2 linked regions of the Anolis sagrei genome follow. The protein of the gene in region 1 purifies or fractionates together with the protein of each later gene. This does not show direct contact. Links are inferred from orthologs where the notes say so. Each region holds a gene or a part of one and is shown on either strand. Other genes may lie near its edges.

The links.
Region 2: the proteins of NPM3 (region 1) and NEPRO purify together in Homo sapiens (affinity purification with mass spectrometry; 4 studies listed by BioGRID and IntAct, with this or other methods). This does not show direct contact. The link is inferred for Anolis sagrei from reciprocal best matches to the Homo sapiens genes NPM3 and RMP64.

What each region holds. Positions count from the first base shown.
Region 1 is NC_090023.1:216,717,136-216,727,541, forward strand, and holds the start of NPM3 (nucleoplasmin-3), read right to left. Parts: upstream 4,266-10,406; 5' UTR 4,215-4,265; coding exon 4,139-4,214; intron 1,219-4,138; coding exon 1,133-1,218; intron 1-1,132. UniProt on the Homo sapiens protein: Plays a role in the regulation of diverse cellular processes such as ribosome biogenesis, chromatin remodeling or protein chaperoning. Modulates the histone chaperone function and the RNA-binding activity of nucleolar phosphoprotein B23/NPM.
Region 2 is NC_090023.1:40,823,334-40,833,612, reverse strand, and holds the start of NEPRO (nucleolus and neural progenitor protein), read right to left. Parts: upstream 4,771-10,279; coding exon 4,650-4,770; intron 4,640-4,649; exon of another isoform or gene 4,570-4,639; intron 2,155-4,569; coding exon 2,000-2,154; intron 1,124-1,999; coding exon 1,047-1,123; intron 1-1,046. UniProt on the Homo sapiens protein: May play a role in cortex development as part of the Notch signaling pathway. Downstream of Notch may repress the expression of proneural genes and inhibit neuronal differentiation thereby maintaining neural progenitors.

The sequences.
Region 1 (10,406 bases):
GAAATAGCCTCCATTTGCCAAACAATAACATGGACAGCCTTAGGGTGGGATACTAAGATCTCCTATAAATTGGTATTAAAAGGAGAAGTAAAAGGGTGGTTCCTAGCAGGATTTCTCACTCAAAATGTGCTTTGGAGGATTGGGGGATGCTCTGGAGCAAATGTGGGGATTATGAAGAGAGGAGAATGTTTGTTCATTTAATGCTAGGTCAGACAAAAAGCCTCTAAGCCAGGTATGGGCAAACGTCGCCCCAACAAGGGTTCTGGACATCAACTCCCACAATTCCTAACTGCTGGCAAGCTGGCTGGGATTTCTTGGAGTTAAGGTCCAAAACAGCTGGAGGGGTGAAGTTTGCCCAGGCCTTCTCTAAGCCCATTTTTTATTCTCACAATGCCAGACACTCACACAAAACCCCTACACTTGGATCTGCTACCTCCTAATCTTAATGTTAGCCTTGGGAAATAACTCAGTGATCATACCCCTTGTCTACAAAAGCAAGGACGTACAACCCTGACCCATAGTCAGCCTCAGTTACCTAAAAGCAAAAACAGAACCACAGTATTTTCTGAAGGTTAGACTCCCTCTGCTGTCCAGAATTCAATGGCTGCACGCTGCTTAAGTCGCATTGACCGACCGTCTGTGCAGGGTTCCATGCACTTTAACAACACAACCGTTCAATGCTAAGGCTTCCCGCCAAAATGGAACTGTAGAGGACAAACCAGTACCTGCTGCATACCAGTACTGACATCTGTTGAGGAGTTACGAAGGTGGAGGCATTACTTTTCATTCAACCCTCGTACATTTTTACTAGTTTGCTATGAGACCAGTACTTGTGGAAAAGGTGGGGGGACTCTGAGTCTTCTAACCTCTTGGTGGACTGGTTAAAAGTAGGCAGGCAAAGGACAGAGTGTTCAGTCAACTTGGTTAGCTCTCTGTTTTCCATGGTAGTCAGAAAAAGGCATCTCCCTTCTCTGCAGCTAACACAGAAACAAGACTGGATGATAAACAGCTGAAATTAGCCATTCCTTCTCCATTAGAAGTTTTGGTTGACTTGTGGCTATCACAATAAAGTGTTATAACAAGGTTGGTGTGATGTGCTAGTATCCACACCTCAAGTCGGGACCTCTCTTACCGTACTCAGAACGAGGGAATGGTCAGAGTCATCCTCTTCATTCACTTGAAAAGTGAAGGATCGGGTAGCGCTGTTCAACTCGCATCCTAAGGATCAAAAAAACAAACAGCCTCAAATGTATGTCGCACTTGCTAGGCAAGCTTCAAAAGCAAAACTACAGCATTTCTGATGCTGTTAGGAACTGTGGGAGTTGAAGTCCAAAACACCTGGAGGGCCCAAGTTTGCCCATGCCTGATCTAGAGTCTTATCCATAATGTGTATAAGGAAAGTTGAAGGGAGAAGGCCCACAGCTTGCCCATGCCTGTGTTAAATAGACCATTTTGTATTTGAGTGATGGTTGCCTGGTGTACAATAATTTTGAGAATCTACTGTGAATTTTTAAATTGTCTGCATCTTTCAACCTGGGGTCGGGACCCCTGGGGAAGTCACAAGGGGGTTTCAGAGGGGTCGCCACAGATCACCAGAAAACATATTTCTGATGGTCTTAGAAACCCATTTGGCAGAAATGGCTGAAGATCTCTCTGCTTGTCCTTCTCTTCCTTTTGGGAAACAGACAGCGAATCCTCCCACCAAAAGCCCTCCTCCGCTGCGATTGGGCGGCCTCTCAGCCAAGGGGAGGGCTGTTTCTGAGACTCCAAGCAGGGAGTCTCTCCTCTCCCCTCCTTGGGCAGGTGTGCTTGGCGAATTGGGAATTGGGTGAGAGAGAGCGCGAGACTGGAGGGAGGCTCATGCCAGCGAGTCCCTTCAAGGCATTGGAGTTCTGTGTGGGAAGTTTGGCCCAATTCAGTCTTTGGTGGGGTTCAGACTGCTCTTTGAGTGTAGGTGAACTATAAATCCCAGCATCTACAACTCCCAAATGTCAAGGTCTGTTTTCCCCAAACACCACCAGTGTTCACACTTGGGCATGTTGGGTATTTGTGCCAAGTTTGGCCTGGATCCATCATTGTTTGAGTCCATAGAGCTCTCTGGATGTAGGTGAATTACAGCTCTAAAATTCAAGGTCAATGCCCACCACACCCTTCCAGAAAATTCTGTTGGTCATGGGAGCTCTGTGTGGGAAGTTTGGCTCAATTCCATCATTGGTGGAGCTCAGAATGATCTTTGATTGTAAGTGAACTATAAATCCCAGCAACTACAACTCCCAAGTGATGAAACCAATGCACCCCCCTCACCCCACCAGCATTCAAATTTGGGCGTATCTGTTATTTGTGCCAAAGTTGGTCCAATAAATTAAAATGCATCCTGCACTTCCGATATTTATATGATGATTCAGAACAGTAGTAAAATTACAGTTGTGAAGTAGCAACGGAAATAATTTTATGGTTGGGGGTCACCACAACATGAGGAACTGTATTAAGGGGTTGTGACACTAGGAAGGTTGAAAACCACTGTGTTAGGAGGATGTCTGGAAGGGGAAGCAAAGGCAACTGGAAGGCACTGTGCTGCAGTTCTACTCTCCCCAAAGCCTCTGCTTGGCAACATTTGCTTGGTACCACAGGGCTGCTGCTAGAGAGGCAGTCAAAGGGCTATGGGTATGTTTGTACACAATGTCCCCAAAGGACTTGTGCTAGTGTAATTCCAAGTTGTGTTTGCATAGACCAAGAAAGGGATTCCAGATTTGGGGAAACATAAGGTTAGGAATTTTTTTTAGGAAAGAACACAAAACGCGCCACTAAGGAGGAGGAGAAACATTGATTTAGAACAGTGTTTCTCAACCTGGGGGTCACGAGGAGGTGTCAGAGGGGTCGCCAAACAATCATTAGAAAAAAATGTATTTTATGTTGGTCATGGGGGTTCTGTCTGGGAAGTTTGGCCCAATTCTGTCATTGGTGGAGTTCAGAATGCCCTTGATTGTAAATGAACTATAAATCCCAGCAACTACAACTCCCAAATGTGAAGGTCTATTTTCCTCAAATTCCACCAGTGTGCACATTTGGGCATATTGAGTATTTGTGCCAAGTTTGGTCCAGATCCATCATTGTTTGAGTCCAGAGTGCTCTCTTGATGTAGGTGAACTACAACTCCAAAACTCAAGGTCAATGCCCGTCAAACCCTTCCAGTACTTTTTGTTGGTCATGGGAGTTCTGTGTGCCAAGTTTGGTACAATTCCAACGTCGGTGGAGTTCAGAATGCTCTTTGATTGTGGGTGAACTATAAATCCCAGCAACTACAACTCCCAAATGACAAAATCAATCCCTCCTAACCCCACCAGTATTCAAATTTGAGCATATTGGGTATTTGTGCCAAATTTTGGTCCAGGGAATGAAAATACATCCTGCATATCAGATATTTATATCACAATTCATAACTGTAGCAAAATGGCTATTCTGAAGTAGCAATGAAAAGAATTTTCTGGTTAGGGGTCACCACAACATAAGGAGCTGTATTAAGGGGTCGCGGCATTAGGAAGGTTGAGAACCACTGATTGAGAAGATGCTGAAATGCAACTATCTGAACAGAAGTCCATTATAACAGTCTTTGTTGGAGGAGGGGAGATGCCAGGTGTGTTCTGAATGTTTTACACTGACTTTAAAAGGGGGGGGGGTTAGAAAAAGGGATTTCCCCGTTTCCTGGCAATGACTCCAAAAGGAAGCGAGAGAACGCTGCATTCCAGTCTAATGATGGAAGTGTGGCCAGGAAGTGGAAGTTTTCTCCTGGAGGAAAGCGTGGAAACGGGTCTGGCTTCATAGCCCCAGCCTAGATTAAAGAGCCAAGCCACGTGGAAAGAGCAGATGGAGCTCAACCACGTGGGAAGCAGGTTTGGTGGCCCAAGCAGGAAGTTGAGAATTTCGAAGGGGAGTCCCACGTGGCGTGGCTTTCTCGCCTATTTCCTCGAAGCCTTGGATAGGACCTTCCCAACTCCAACCCCGTGCCTGTCCTCCCACCCCAACCCAGTCCTCCCAGCCCTCTCCAAGGCGCCCTTCCCAGTCCCTAAGCCCATTTTGCCCCATCCCCAAACGCTTGCCCCCTTTCCCAGCCAGTGCCACCCCAACACGCCTCGCCTACCGAAGACGAAGTGGCTGACACAACCGGACGCCTTCTCGCCGTCCTCCGAGCTCTCCAGGTCCAAGAAGGAGGCCATGCCGGCGCCGAAAGAGCGAGGAGGGGCCCGGAAAGGGCTTAAGCCGCCTCCCGGTCGGGTTTACGCCCGCCCTAAACGCCCACTCTTGGGAGGTCCTGGCTTGGAGGAAGGAGGAGGCACCGCTTCCCCAATAGGAAACGCTGGGGAGGGTTGGGAGAGGATCCTCAAACCCTCCCCAAGCTTTTCCAACTTGAATGTATTGTCGAAGGCAATACATAACCGGAATCACTGGGTTGTTGAAGGTTTTTCGGGCTATATGGCCATGTTCTGGAAGCATTCTCTCCTGACGTTTCGCCTGCCCCTATGGCAGGCCATCAAATGCTAATCAAGGTGGCCAATTGAAACATTCCCACCTAGCTCCAACAGGCAAGAGTTCTTTCTCCCATCTTGGACAGATATATAAACCCTATTTTCCTAGTTTCCAACAGACCTCGCAACCTCTGAGGATGCTTGCCATAGATGCAGGCAAAACATCAGGAGAGAATGCTTCTATAACAGTGTTTCTCAACCTTCTTAATGCCATAACCCCATAATACAGTTCCTCATGTTGTGGTGATCCCCAACCATGCAATTATTTTCGTGGCTGCTTCATAACGGTAATTTTGCTACTGTTAGGAATCGGAATGTAAAAATCTGATATGCAGGATGCATTTTTATTCACTGGACCAAATTTGGCACAAATACCCAATACGCCCAAATTTGAATACTTGTGGGCTGGGGGGGGGGGGTGTTGATTTTGTCATTTGGGAGTTGTAGTTGCTGGGATTTATAGTTCACCTACAATCAAAAAACTCCAATGATGGAATTGAACCAAACATGGCACACTGAACTCCCATGACCCACAGAAAATAGTGGAAGGGTTTGGTGGGCATTGACCTTGAGTTCTGGAGTTGTAGTTCACCGACATCCAGAGAGGACTGTGGACTCAAACAATAATGGCTCTGGACCAAACTTGGCATGAATACTCAATATGCCCAAATATGAACACTGGTGAAGTTTGGGGAAAACAGACCTTGAGATTTGGGAGTCGTAATCCTGAGATTTCTAGTTCACGTACAATCAAAGAGCACTCTGAATCCCACTAATGATACAATTGGGCCAAACTTCCCACACAAGACCCCCATGGCCAACAGAAAATACTGTTTTTCAATGGTCCTTGGGTACCCCTCTTGACACCCCCTTGCGACCCCTCCAGGGGTCCCGACCCCCAGGTTGAGAAACACTGTTCTAGAACATGGCCATATAGCCAAACAAACCTACAACAACCTATTTTCCAAGTTGCGTAAGAGAATCTGAAAAGAAACATGCATTGGGCAAAGGGTCTAGGGATGCATAGAAAGGGTGAAATTAATGCAGCTTGACACCATTTTAACTGCTGTGGGATGCTGAGAGTTGTAGTTTGGTGAGGCACCCGCACTCTTTAGCAGAGAAGGTGAAAGCTTGTGAAACTACAAGTCCTAGGAGTCCTTTGCTTTTATTTTCCCAGCCAAAGTAGCAAAACAAGCTGATTGCCCTAGAAGGGCTCCAAGATAAGTAAGTTTGGGCAGAGCGGGGGCTGGGCAAGGGAGAACAAGGTATAGGATTTGTTAAGTGGGTGGTATTAGCTTCCCTTAGACAAGGATGCTGGAGCATGCAAAATCATTTGGTGGTTTTTTTGTTGTGTCAGGAGCAATTTGAGAAACTGCAAGTTGCTTCTGGTGTGACAGAATTGGCCGTCTGCAAGGATGTTGTCCAGGGGATGCCTGGATGATTTGATGTTTTTTATCATCCTTGTGGGAAGCTTCTCTCATGTCCCCGCATGGGGAGCTGGAGCTGATAGAGGGAGTTCATCCGCCTCTCCCCGGATTCGAACCTGCAACCTGTTGGTCTTCTGTCCTGCTAGCACAGGGGTTTAACCCACTGTGCCACCGGGGGCTCATTTGGTGGGTATGTTAACAGAAAAATGCGAAGTAGGAAGCTCATTGGTTGAGCCATGCCCCAAGAGGCTAGCTGAGCCTGGGAGTTTTGGCAAGTTACATGTTTAAGTTTTTCTGTGCAGGAGCTTGCCAAGTTTTGAATTTTTGCTTCTGAAATGTGTGATTCACAGGCTGACCATGCGGGGAAACCATTTGAATCTTATTGGACATTGTGAGTCAATACAACTGTTCACATGACTGTATATATGTTGGTCTGCATAAAAGTAAACACATTCTTTACTGATCATCCGTGTGCAATATCTTTTCTCTAGCAAGACTGTGTAGATTGGTAAATGTGAACCACACGTGATTTCCATTCCGCCACAAAGGAGGCCTGTGGCATCTCTCTGGGTTCAGTTTGAAACTAATGCAGTTTGAAACTATTTTGAGTGCTCTGACTTAGTGCTATGGAATTGTGGGAGTTGCAGTTTGGTGAGGCACCAGTACCCTGTGATATTAGGAATAGCTCCTCCCCCTTTTACACAAAATGGAATGAATAAGGAATAGGTGCTCTCCTCTTTAATATGTTAGGCTGCAGTAGGTAATGGGGTCCACAGTCCAAAATCAGGGGGGACATCCATTTTCTTATCTGCAAAGCAGGTTGCTTAAGACATCATATTGTCAGATAAGGCAGGGCTTTCTTAACTACAGTATCTGTGTACCTGCATTTCCCTTACCCCCATTTTTCCTTTCTTTTCTTAAAAAATACCCAACAGCTGATGGCTAGAGACTGAGGCCCATCTATGGCCCACCTCTCTAAATAGCCTTTACCACAGGGAGCCCCCGGTGGCGCAGTGGGTTAAACCCCTGTGCCAGCAAGACTGAAGACTGACAGGTTGCAGGTTCGAATCCGGGGAGAGGTGGATGAGCTCCCTCTACCAGCTCCAGCTCCTCATGCAGGGACATGAGAGAAGCCTCCCACAAGGATGAAAAAATATCAAAACATCCGGGCGTCCCCTCGGCAACCTCCTCACAGACAGCCAATTCTCTCACACCAGAAGCAATTTGCAATTTCTCAAGTCGCTCCTGACATGACAAAAACGAAAAAAACCCACAGGCCTACACAGCCTGTGGCCCTCCAGGTGTTTTGAACTTCAGCTCCTAGAATTCCTGATCATTGGACAAGATGGCTAGGGCTTCAGGAAGTTGGAGCCTCAAAACCAGAAGCCCAGAGTGTGCAAGCCTGCTCTCCTGGTTACATGATAGTTTTCATTCAGTTTTAAGATATATAGTGTACATTAATCTCAACAGCTTGCAATGGAAGATAATGTAATTCATCCAAAATAGTATAAATTCTGGTTGTGTGTTCAGATGACAAGACTTGATCAAACTTTAGGAGCTGTGTGGATCAACACAGCGGTTGCAAATGGATACTCCATTAATTTCTTGGCTTACTGTCTGTTATGAACAACCCCATCTCTGATTGCAACCATCTGTTTAGGCCATCAAGACTACTTCTAAAAATTATGAACATAAGGTAAAAGATTTCTCCTCACCTGTCATAGCCTACAAGGCATTCTGGATCCTTTCCTCTTGCTTCCTTGGAAGGCTATCGACACCAGGCACCACAAACCTTATTTTCCTGTAGAGATGAGGCTTCTTATAGTAATCCATATGAAAGTTTTAACAACTCATCAAGCCCAGTGGCACAGCTTAACACAGCTCACCAAAATATCAGGTGGCCTCCCACAGAAAGGTTGCTTTTGGTGAGACCTGGTCGATTTCCCAGCTGTGGGCAAAGGCAGGGGGTGGCTTTCTGCATGTCAAATTTGTAGTATTTTATTTCTGTGCAGTAAAAACGAATGGGTTATTATCCCAGTGGGAAACTGATGAGTTTTCCTGGTAGCTGCTTTCTGCTGTCAGATGTTAAACGATGGAACTCACAAAGTGCTGGGGATGGAGCAATCCCAAAGCTACCCCAGACAGCAGACATCCTACCTCTTTTCAGCGAGGCAGTTTCCTTCCTGTTCTGTCAGATAAAACGTCTCAAAGAGTTTTGAAGACCAAAGCATTGGGGTTTTCCACCTCCAGATAATCTGCATAGCATGCTTGTTCTATTCCATCTTGAACCCATATTCCATCAGGCTGCAAAGATAACAACTTCTGCATCAAATATGGGCATTAGGTAATATCTCAAACAGTGGTGTCATCATTCTCCAAGTGAAATATGATCCACTATATTATATCCACCACATGGGTGGTAATATGTAGATTAACTAAAAGCAAACAGGGGAAATGGTCTGAATGTATTAAAAACGGGAGTAAACTTTTAATCTCAGGTAGCTCCACCTCTCTCTTTCAGTCTAGCCTGGCTTGTCCCTTTTTTATTCAAGAGATTTCTCCCACTGACATCTGGAATAGTTATATCTAGTAAATCACCTCTTTTCCAAACATCATCATTCTACTTTGAAAGTGATGGGGGAAGATACAGCAGAACAGTCGTATTACATTTCCATATCATTTCACTCAAGGATATTTGACTGCTTCCCACTAATATCCCTGCACTGCTTTCTGACAGGCTATCCCTTTCATATAATAGTACATATTCTTTTGACCGCAAACTAAACCAGATTTTCAAGAAGCCTGTTTTTTAATTTTTGAATACATGCCACAATAAACTACAGTTCCCTTGCTGCTCAGTAAGAGATAATATCATGAATTATTCCCCAAATGCAAGAAAGAAATGTGAAACTTTTTCAGCAGACTATTCCAGAACCACTTGCCTAAAACTTATTTTTGGCTTTTAAAAAAATTATACTTTCAAATATGACTTTGAGAGGTGATGTAAGACCCATGGGTGCACATATGCTTTGTAGCCAAAGTAACTATGTAAAGGTAAAGGTTTCCCCTGACATTAAGTCTAGTCATGTCAGACTCGGGGGGGGGGGGGGGTAGTGCTCATCCCCATTTCTAATCCAAAGAGCCGGCATTGTCCATAGACGCCTCCAAGGTAATGTGGCCAGCATGACTGAATGGAGGGCCGCTACCTTCCCACCAAGGCAGTACCTATTGATTTACTCACATTTGCCTGTTTTTGAACTGCAAGGTTGGCAAAAGCTGAGGCTAGCAGGAGGAGCTCACCCCACTCCCACCCACCTTTCGGTCAGCAAGTTCAACAGCTCAGTGGTTTAACCCACTGCACCACCTATGTAAACCCTTTTAGTAACTTAGGCTTTCAACAATTTCTCAAGCTGGTGTGAGGAACCATCTCTTTTTTTTATCTGCCAGGAAGCAGTATGTATTTATGGCTACTGACTCCAGCCACTTCTTTCCTGGAAACGTGCATAAACTAGCAATGGTTCACAAGCCACTCTTTTGAGCAGCATTGGTTTTGAGTATTGCTACCATTCCACAATTAGGCAGGATGTACACATCTGAAGAACAGGCAAATTGCAGTTCTCTTCAAAATCTCTCAACCCAAGTCTACACTTGCACGAGTAATACAACAGGACATGTTAATAACCTTTAAACCAGGGGTCCTCAAACTAAGGCCCGAGGGCCGGATATGGCCCTCCAAGGTCATTTACCTGGCCCTTGGTCAGGGTCAACCTAAGTCTGAAATGACTTGAAAGCACACAACAACAACAACCTTATCTCATCAGCCAAAAGCAGGCCCACACTTTCCATTGAAATCCTAATAAGTTTATATTTGTTAAAATTGTTCTTCATTTTAGTTATTGTATTGTTTTTAAGCGTTTTTTGCACTACAAATAAGATATGTGCAGTGTTCATAGGAATTCGTTCATTTTTTTCAAATTATAATCCGGCCCTCCAACAGTTTGAAGGACTGTGACCTGGCCCTCTGTTTAAAATGTTTGAGGACCCCTGTTTTAAACCTTCCTGGGGCTTGTTTATTAAAAGCATGAATTTCAAAATAGCTGACTAGTCAAGGGACAATGAAAGCACAGTCCAAGTGTGGCCAAATCCAACCCACTTGCCACATTAGGACAAAGGCACTCTCAAAAGTAATACACACTCCCCAGGTTCCAAGCTGAAGACTTTATTTAAGATAAGGAACATGGGATAAAAAAAATATAAAGAGGAAGATCAGACAAACAACAAAAAGGAACAAACCAGATTGGCTTTCACATAACCTAACAATAGGTCAACTCACATGTGATTAGCAGTGGTCCCTGATGGTGTTCAGGAAATGGCAGTTTTCTCTATAGAACAGATCTCAATATAAACCTTGTGAAAAAGATGAGATTTGACACGCAACAGCTAGGGAGGTGTGCAA
Region 2 (10,279 bases), about 180 Mb from region 1:
TACACCAAGAGAGAGCAACTAGAGAAGACAATGTTTGCCTCTGTGTACCTCTGAAGGGCAACCCTTTTGCATCACTAAAAAACTAAAAGTGACGTTGTGACACTTCTAGTTTCTTTTCAGGAAGTCAACCTTTTATGGAGAGAGGCTAGTATTGTGGGAGGGTAAGGCAAGAAAACTGCAGTGTTTTCTAGTGGTTTGGAGTAGTGATCTGGAACAAGTTACCTAAAAATGGGCAAACCACAGACCACCTGCTGCAATGCAACCTGAGCCCTGCTACTTGCGCAATGGAGGACCTCCTTGCGGCAACACCAGAGGCACTCCAAGTGGCCAGATACTGGTCAAAGGACATTTAGTCAACTACCAAGTTTGCAAAATTTGTGGGTTTTTTTTAATCTGTTTGTTTTGTTCTGTTAGAAATGTAATACAATGGTATGGTTGCTGATTACACGTTAAATAAACCTAAAAATGGCAAGTCACAGAATCATAGAATAATAGGGTTAGAAGAAATTACATGGGATATCTAGTCCAACCCCCTGCCATGCAGGAAAAGCACAATCAAAGTACCTCTGAAATATAGTCATTCAGCCTTCCATAGGGAAGGAGATCCCACCACACTGTGATCTAGCAGCTTTGGCAGTAGGTATACAAAAATGAATATGGGAATTATTTAAAATAGTATTGTCGAAGGCCTCCATGGCTGGAATCATTGGGTTGTTGTAGGTTTTTCGGGCTATATTGCCATGTTCTATAAGCATTCTCCTGACATTTCGACTGCATCTATGGGGGTGCCTGCCATAGATGCAGGTGAAATGTCAGGAGAGAATGCTTCTAGAATATGGCTATTTAAAATAGGTTAGCTGAATTTCTGATTTACGCTACATCAAGTTGGTCCACCAGAATACACTAATGACAAAAATTTAGTTGCTTTGAATTATATGGATTTTAGCCAATATAAATTTAGCTAAGTGCGTAACCTAGCAAACATGGGAAAGTAAACACTATAAGACCGAAACTCCCATAAAGATCATCTAGTTTATGCTACTTACATGGGGCCCAGTTGAGTAAGATCTTGAATTGCCTTTTCCAGATTCATTAGATTTAAACGCTTCAAGCATTGTTCTACCTGGAAGGGGGGTAAGAGTACATTAAGAGATTAGCTGAGAAATAAAACTTTTAATCTAGACACATTTCAGTATATTTCTAAGTCCATAATTAGTATGTATGAGATTATGCAAGAGTGACATCTTTCTATTCTACATCAAGGCAATAACTGTAAGTCAAATGAACAATCAGTCAGTTAAGTGCCCGTCACTGTGAAAAATCAGAGCCTAACTAGCAGTGCTTATGTATAGGTAGAATGCACTGCCGCTCCCTTTAAAAACACTTCCTATTCAACAAGCTATGTGTTCATTCATTTCTATAGCATTGTGAAAGTAAGTGAATTCACACACATTGAAATGAGGTTTGCATAATACGCACTCATTCATATGTGTGTGTGTATAGATAGATAGAACAACAGCATTATGTTAATGAAATATTTCAGACACTGACTAAGAAACATATCCAACTGAGGCTCTCTTTTTAAAAAACACAGACATTAATCTATCAGATTCACACTTTTTTCCCAATGAGACAATGAACAATATAATTTCTCCAATAAATGAAAGCAAGCTCAAGTTCTTAAATTTAGGAGAATAAAAATAGTTTCTATCCTAGGATGAATACCTATAAACAGACATTCTTTCTCAAGATAAAGTTTCAAATAGAATCAGAGTTGGAAGAGATCACATGGGCCATCTAGTCCAACTCCCTGCCATGCAGGAAAAGCACAATCAAAGCACCCCAACAGATGGCCATCCAGCCTCTGTTTAAAAGCCCTTAACAAATGCAGAGAGTTCCACTGTTGAAAAACTTTTATGATCAGGTAGTTCTTCCTATTGTTCAGGAAATAGAGAAGACAATGTCCAAATATGTTTCCAGGCAACTGTCTCATTCTGACCTGTTTGAGAGACTGATACGGCTTATGACGACTCATCTTGTAGCGGAAACGATAGATGACAGTACGGAGGAGGCACTGTTCTGCAACCATGGCTTTATCTCTTAGCATGTTGTTAAGAGCATGGCCCTCTTTCCTAACAACAGCAAAGCATCCCACTGGAAAAGATAAAAAGACAATTACCTAAATTTGCAAGAATCTCTTCCACATAGCAACACAAGAAAAGTGCATTGAAGTCTTTTATCAGATGTCTAAATAAATACAGTTTACGGTATGGTATAGTATGGGGTGCAGTATTATTAAGGTCTATTTTTCATGGAAACTCGCATACAACCAGATACAACATTTGTCCAGCATCTACCAAGCCCCAGGCTGGAGCTACACTGCCATATAATCCAGTTTCTGAATGCAGATTATCTGCTTTGAACTGGATTATATGGCAATGTAGACTCATATAATCCAATACAAAACAGATACTCTGGATTTTATGGCAGTGCAGATGAGGCCTGAGTCTACTGTATACGCAAGTGTTCCAAAATGTCAAACAAAGGCGGCTAAATATCTTTTGACCAAAAACGGGAAACAACAACTGCACTGTCTGTAGCCTCCAACAACTCCTTCTCTGTACATGAGGCAGGGCACAGTGGACAAGCAAACAGATGCGGAGTTGTCTGTTCTGCTCCACTATCACACAAGATGGGGGATTCTTTTAGGTAGTGCCATTTTGCGAGGTTGTCTTTTGATCTGCCCACTCCGCTTCTGAGTCTATTCAGGGACTTCCAGGTTGCCCATTCTTGGTTTGCCTCTGAAGGAAGACCCTCATGGGGGGCCATCCAGTTGGGATTTCTTGGTTTAGCTGCCCAGAGGGATACCCTTGCTATAGCTGGGGGGACATCAAGAGGAGTGGTAGTTCTCATAAAGCTTTTCCTTGATTTGTGTCTGCTGGGAGGAGGCTGGTAGCCTGGTAGTGGATGGCTTTCACAGTGTTCAACCTTATTCCTCTCACATTTCACACATGGGGGAGGGGGGCAATGCCAGCTAGCTTGTAGAGTTTATCAACAGGTGTAGGTTTAAGGCATCCTGTGATTATTCTGCATGTTTCATTCAAAGCTATGTTCACCTGTTTTGCATGGGCAGACTTATGCCAAATAGGACAGGCATATTCAGCAGCTGAGTAAAACAACAACAACAACTTTATCTTTCTACCCACCTCCATCTCCCCGAAGGGACTCGGGGTGGCTTACATGGGGCCATGCCCAGACAAGGCCAGGGCTCTTCTTATTAATTTTGGGTATACGCCCCATGTTCTGCCAGTAAGTTTTTAAAGGATGTTATTGCGTGCAGCTACTTTGTGCTTGGTGTTCAAGCAGTCTTCGATAGCCAATGAAAATCCTGAATCGCCCAGGTTCTGCCAAGGTGCAGTTACAGCAGGCCTGGGCCAACTTGGGCCCTCCCTTTTGGTGTTTTGGACTTCAATTCCCACAATTCCTAACAGCCTCAGGCCCTTTCCTTTCTCCCCTCGGCTGCTTAGGAATTGTGGGAATTGAAGTCCAAAAAACCGGGAGGGTCCAAGTTGATCCAGGCATTATCTACATAGTCTCTCTATATATATAAAAACGCTCTGTGCATAATGAGTACCTTAAAAACAAAAGAACCTATGAACGAAATCACACCAAATTTGGCAACAAAATGTCTCACAACACAAGGCGTGACCATCACTCAAAAATTTATGATTTTTGTCATTTGGGAGTTGTAGTTGCTGGGATTTATAGTTCACCTACAATCAAACAGCATTCTAAACTCCAACAACGATGGAATTGAACCAAACTTGGCACACAAAACTCCCATGAGCAACAGAAAATATTGGAAGGGTTTGGTGGGCACTGACCTTAAGTTTGGGAGTTATAGTTCACCTACATCCAGGGAGCACTGTGGACTCAAACAATGATGGATCTGGACCAAACTTGGCACAAGCACTCAATATGCCCAAATATGAACACAGATGGAGTTTGGGGGAAATAGACCTTGACATTTGGAAGTTGTAGTCACTGGGATTCACAGTTCACCTACAATCAAAGAGCATTCTGAACCCCACGAACGACAGAATTGGGGCAGACTTCCCACACAGAACCCCCATGACCAACAGAAAATACTTAAGGCCATCCAGTCTTACTCCCTTCACCAGGACAAGAAAATATAATCAAAGTCCTCCTGACAAAGACCCATTGAGCCATAGATATAGATAGATAGATAGATAGATAGATGATAGATATGATTCACATACACAGAGATATAGTATCCTAGATTTGAAAGGGACCCTTAAAGAAGGACAATGATATGTTGCATGTTCCAGAGTAGGCAAACCAGATAATCTCTGCATCAACACGGACAAAGAAACAGCAAGAAATACTGTTTACCCACAAGCAAAAAGAAATTACATATATTAGAAACCAAAACTTCCTCATTACTCTATTTTCCAGATCAACAGACTGGGCCACAGCAACGCGTGGCAGGGGACAGCTAGTTACTTATATGGCGCCACTGCCTTGATTAATACCACAGTCCAGATGCACCTCGGATCCACGTGGCCTGGCAGACAGTCAGGGGCACCTAGGCCCCCTCGGCTGACCCTCCTTCCTTCGCCTCCCTTTACCCGAAGCATGGTGATCCGGTACAGCAAGGGGAGCGCTGCAGCCCGGCCATGGGACGCGCAGCCGGTTCCACATCTCTTCCTCTCCTCTGGGCGCCGCCATCTTTCCTGGATTAAACCACATCTCAGGAGGGAGGGAGATAAACGTAGACTCAACCAAGTTTTTTGTCCCGCAGGGGGAGCCATAGTTCAGGGCTCATTTCCTCTGCCTCGCTCTCAGCCGCCGGCAGGAGGCGCTGTGGCATACTTTCCTCTAAGAACTTGGAAAAGCTCGCTCCAGCACTCTCCATCCAACTTCTTTTCTTTGTCTAATAAATAATAATAATAATAATAATAATAATAATAATAATAAGGTATTGTTGATGTCACAATCCCAGGTGGCAGCAGGATTGCAGAGAAACAACTGGAAAAGCTGACATGATACGAGGATTTAAAGATGGAACTGCAAAGACTGTGGCACAAGCCAGTCAAGGTGGTCCCAGTGGTGATTGGCACACTGGGTGCAGTGCCTAAAGACCTTGGCCTGCACTTAAACACAATTGGCGCTGACAAAATTACCATCTGCCACCTTACTGGGATCTGCACATATTATTCGCCGATACATCACACAGTCCTAGACACTTGGGAAGTGTCCCACATAGAATCAAAGAGTTGGAAGAGACCTCATGGGCCATCCAGTCCAACCCCCTGCCAAGAAGCAGGAATATTGCATTCAAATCAATATTCGTAGATGGAGATGCGTGACCGCATCTCCATCTACGAACCCACGCGTTCACTTCTGTCATCTGGAGAGGCCCTGCTCGTGATCTCACCTGCATCGCAAGCACGTTTGGTGGGGACACGAGACAGGGCCTTTTCCGTGGTGGCCCCCCGACTCTGGAACACCCTCCCCAAAGATCTTAGACAGGCCCCTACATTGGCAGTCTTCAGAAAGAACTTGAAGACCTGGCTGTTCCGATGTGCCTTCCCAAATTAGGAAATCTCCAATACCAAGTCCCATAAGCACTTTACTAGAACTAAGATTGCTGCATACCGCACACTGCACTTGCCCTATAATGCCTTATACACCACCTGTAACATCAGCACTTTTAATCCTGTACCCATTACTCTGGCCCAGCCCAGTTTTATTGTGTCTTAGTGTATTGTTTATTGTTTGTGGTTTATATTGCTTTAATTGTTTTTAATTTGCCTTAGGTTTTGTATTGTTATATTGTGTGTTGAGGCCTTGGCCTTTGTAAGCCGCATCGAGTCCTTCGGGAGATGCTAGCGGGGTACAAATAAAGTTTAATAATAATAATAATAATAATAATAATAATAAAATCACCCCCGACAGATGGCCATCCAGCCTCTGTTTAAAAGCTTCCAACGAAGGAGCCTCCACCACGCTCTGGGGCAGAGAGTTCCACTGCTGTACGGCTCTCACAGTCAGGAAGTTCTTCCTCATGTTCAGATGGAATCTCTCCACGTGTGATCCAATTCAACAGCCAGCAGAGTTTCTGCTGTGGACTCATCTTGTTATGTTTCAAATAATAATAATAATAATAATAATAATAATAATAATAATAATAACTCAGTCTTTCGAATCCAGACTGACAAAGTTTTGGAACACAATACAACAAACATCACGATTGTGGAAAAGAAAAAAGTCTGGATTATTGATGTCGCCATACCGGGTGACAGTCACATTGAGGAAAAACAACAGGAAAAACTCAGCCGCTATCAAGACCTCAAAATTGAACTGCAAAGGCTCTGGCATAAACCAGTACAGGTGGTCCCAGTGGTCATTGGCACACTGGGTGCTGTGCCAAAAGATCTCAGCCGGCATTTGGAAACAATAAACATCGACAAAATCATGATCTGTGAACTGCAAAAGGACACCTTACTTGGATCTGCGTGCATCATTCGAAAATACATCACACAGTCCTAGACACTTGGGAAGTGTTCGACTTGTGATTTTGTGATATGAAATACAGCATATAAATCTCGTTTGCTGTGACATACTGTGCTTTTGTGTCAATAATAATAATAATAATAATAATAATGGGATTTAAAGATCGAACTGCAAAGACTCTGGCACAAGCCAGTCAAGGTGGTCCCAGTGGTGTTCGGCACACTGGTGAGGTGCCTAAAGACCTTGGCATGGACATAAACACAATCGGCACTGATAAAATTACCATCTGTCAGCTGCAAGAGGCCACCCTATCAGGATCTGCACACATTATTTGCCGATACATCACATAGCCCTAGACACTCGAGAAATGTCCGACATGTGATCCAATACAGCAATCAGCAGAGTGATCTTGTTTGCTGTGTACAAATCTTGTTGTGTTTCAAATAATAATAATAATAATAATAATAATAATAATAGGATTTAAAGATCGAACTGCAAAGACTCTGGTACAAGCCAGTAAAGGTGGTCCCAGTGGCATCCGGCACACTGGGTGCAGTGCCTAAAGACCTTGGCCTGCACTTAAACACAATCGGCGCTGACAAAATTACCATCTGTCAGCTGCAAAAGACCACTCTACTGGGATCTACATGCATTATTCACTGATACATCACACAGTCCTAGACACTTGGGAAGTTTATGATGTTTATGGCAGGCAGTGTCCCTCTATAAAAGTGTGGGTTGCCAAATTTTGTTACTCATGGTGTATTGTTTTACTGACACAAAAGCACAGTATGTCACAGCAAATGAGATCTATAGGCTGGATTTCATATCAAAAAATCAAAAGTCAAATACTTCCCAAGCGTCTAGGTCTGTGTGATGATGATGATGATGATGATGATGATTATTATTATTATTATTATTTGAAACACAACAAGATTAACACACAGCAAACAAGATCACTATGCTGGCTGTTGAATTGGATCACTTATTATTAAGTGTCCAACGTGTGATTCAATACAACAGCCAGCATAGTGATCTTGTTTGCTGTGTATTAATCTTGTTGTGTTTCAAATAATAATAATAGGCAATGCTGCATTTGGTGGTTTCTATGTATGCAGGGAAAACATTCCCTAACATTAAAGGTTATTAAGCACATTTTATGTTGCTGGTTTCCAATGAGGTTTGCCAGGCAAAACATGCTGACAGCTGTATTTAAAGATATTGTGTAGAAACCTTTTATGAATGAATGTTTTATTGTAAACTTTGTGAAAATCAATAAAAACATTTTTTAAAAGATATTGTGTAGAAATATAGAATTAATGTAATTAAAGGAGCCAAACTCATAACAGGATTGAAGATGCAATCATCAGATAAGAACAGTTGTGCTCAAATACTCTAAAGTTCATAGCCTAGAATGAACTTTTCCTAAAGATTTCATGTTGGTGACACACGTTTTAGACATGCGTCATTTAATGACACAGTAATTCAGTTTCACTAGCAAACTGGGGGTTAAACCAACCCCTTATAAGGGATATGGACACACACATAAATTGTAATAACAAGCTGTATGGGGACACAACATATCTCATGAAAAAATTCCATTTACATTTTTTTACCAATACATGATTTGTAAGATTTTTGTCATTTTTCTTTACATTGGTGCTATGCAAAGTTTGGAAAGTTGTGGTCTAGGAGCAGACTGCATTGAAGTAGTTGAGAATGAGGTGTTTTCAGAATACGGGGGGGGGGGGGGGCTTCTTCCCAGTAAATATGAAGTAGCAATAAATTCAATGTAGTTTTTACATAAGCTTTTGTTGTCCAAATCACATATCCATAGACTCTGGTCCTGAAAATACCCAACACTATCAGAGTCTCCCCCCCCCCCCCAAACAAACCACAACGTTTACTCGGAAGTACCTCTGAAGATGCCAGCCACAGATGCAGTGAAATGTCAGTAGAAAATGCTACACGTCCATACAACATTCCAGTGATTCCGTCCATGAAAGCCTTCGACAATACTTGTTTTTAATTAATTAGCTTTTCTGAATTTGGTTCAGAGGTAACTCAATGTAAATAAAGCGCACTGCAGAAGTCCAGCCTTGAGGTTACTAGTGCATGAACTACCTATCTTTAGGTCCTCGAATTTTAGGAAGGGCCACAGCTGGCATATCAGCTGAAACTGGTAGTAAGCACTTCTGATCTTTGCATCTATCTGGGCTGTCATATGAAGAGACGGATCCAGGAGGGCTTCCAACCTGCAAACACAGTGTTTCAGGGGGAGTGTCGCCCCATCCAGAATTGGTTGACACAGCTCCATCCCTTGACAGCAAATACCTCTGTCTTATGTGGATCAATTTCAATTTGTTTTTCTTCATGCACCCCTTTATGTCCTCCAGCCATTAATTCAGAGGAGAATAAAGTTTTCCCCATTGATTTTTCTTGCCTTGTTAAGGATTGCTGTAGTTTGGTCTTTGTATCTGAAGACTATGCTAGTGGGAAAGTGAGTCAATTAAAATGAATAAATGTTTTATTACTTCTGTAGATATATGGATGCCTGTTCAAATAAATACATAATGAAAATGTTGAAATTACATTTGATTTGTTGTTGAAGGCTTTCATGGCCGGAATCACCGGGTTGCTATGAGTTCTCTTGGCTGTATGGCCATGTTCCAGAAGTATTCTCTCCTGATGTTTCGCCCACATCTATGGCAGGCATCCTCAAAGGTTGAGGGGTCTGTTGGAAACTAGGAAAGTGAAGTTTATATATCCAAGGTGGGAGAAAGAGCTCTTGTCTGCTTGAGGCAAGTGGAAATGTTGCAGTTGGCCACCTTGATGAGCACTGAATGGCCTTGCAGGTTCAAAGCCTGGTTGGTGCTGCCTGGGGGAAACCTTTGTTGAGAGGTGTTAGCTGGCCCTGACTGACTCTTGTATGGAATTTCCCTGCTTTTTGAGTGTTGCTCTTTATTTACTGTGCTGATTTTAGAGGGTTTATAAAATTAGACTTGATTGCTGCAAACTCACTTTGATGAGACTGGGCAAGTCGTTAGTTGCCCTTTAATAAAGCCAGTTCCATTTATTTTCCAAAAACCAACCACACCTGCTGGAGACCTTTTATGAACAAATAAAGGAGATCCCAGGAAGGCCTTTTACTGTTGTTTAGTTGTAAAATACTTAAAAGTAATACAACATAGCAATGGAAGGGGGGAAGAATTCTGGCAACGCAGTCATGTGTACAAAGGATCTCACAAAGGTCTCACTGGCTGAATTTCTGAGATATTATGAGCAGCCCATAAATGAGGAACAGGCTTGGGCTATTTGTTTCCAGTCTTGTTATAAGATGAAACAGATTTTAGCTCAAGGACTGGATTCTGTCTTGCACATGATAATTTTAGATATTGACAACCTCTACATCCATTCTGATGGTAGTGTGTCCTTCAGTCTACAGCACGACATTGGTAAGGAAAAATCAGGAAGTTTCCAATATGTGTGTTCATGTTTTTCTTAATTCTATGTTGGTTTTCATATTCTACGTCTTTCCTAATCGCTGTAGTTTTTTGTATAGTGTTTCTTAAAGATTTTACTGCATTTGACCTCACTTTTGAGTAAATTTCTATACTGAAGCCAAATAATCTTATAGTCTGGCTATTCCAGACAGGAAATAATCGGGGCCAGCTAACACCTCCCAACAAAGGATTCCCCCAGGCAGGAATAAGCCAGGCTTTGAAGCTGCAAAGCCATTCAG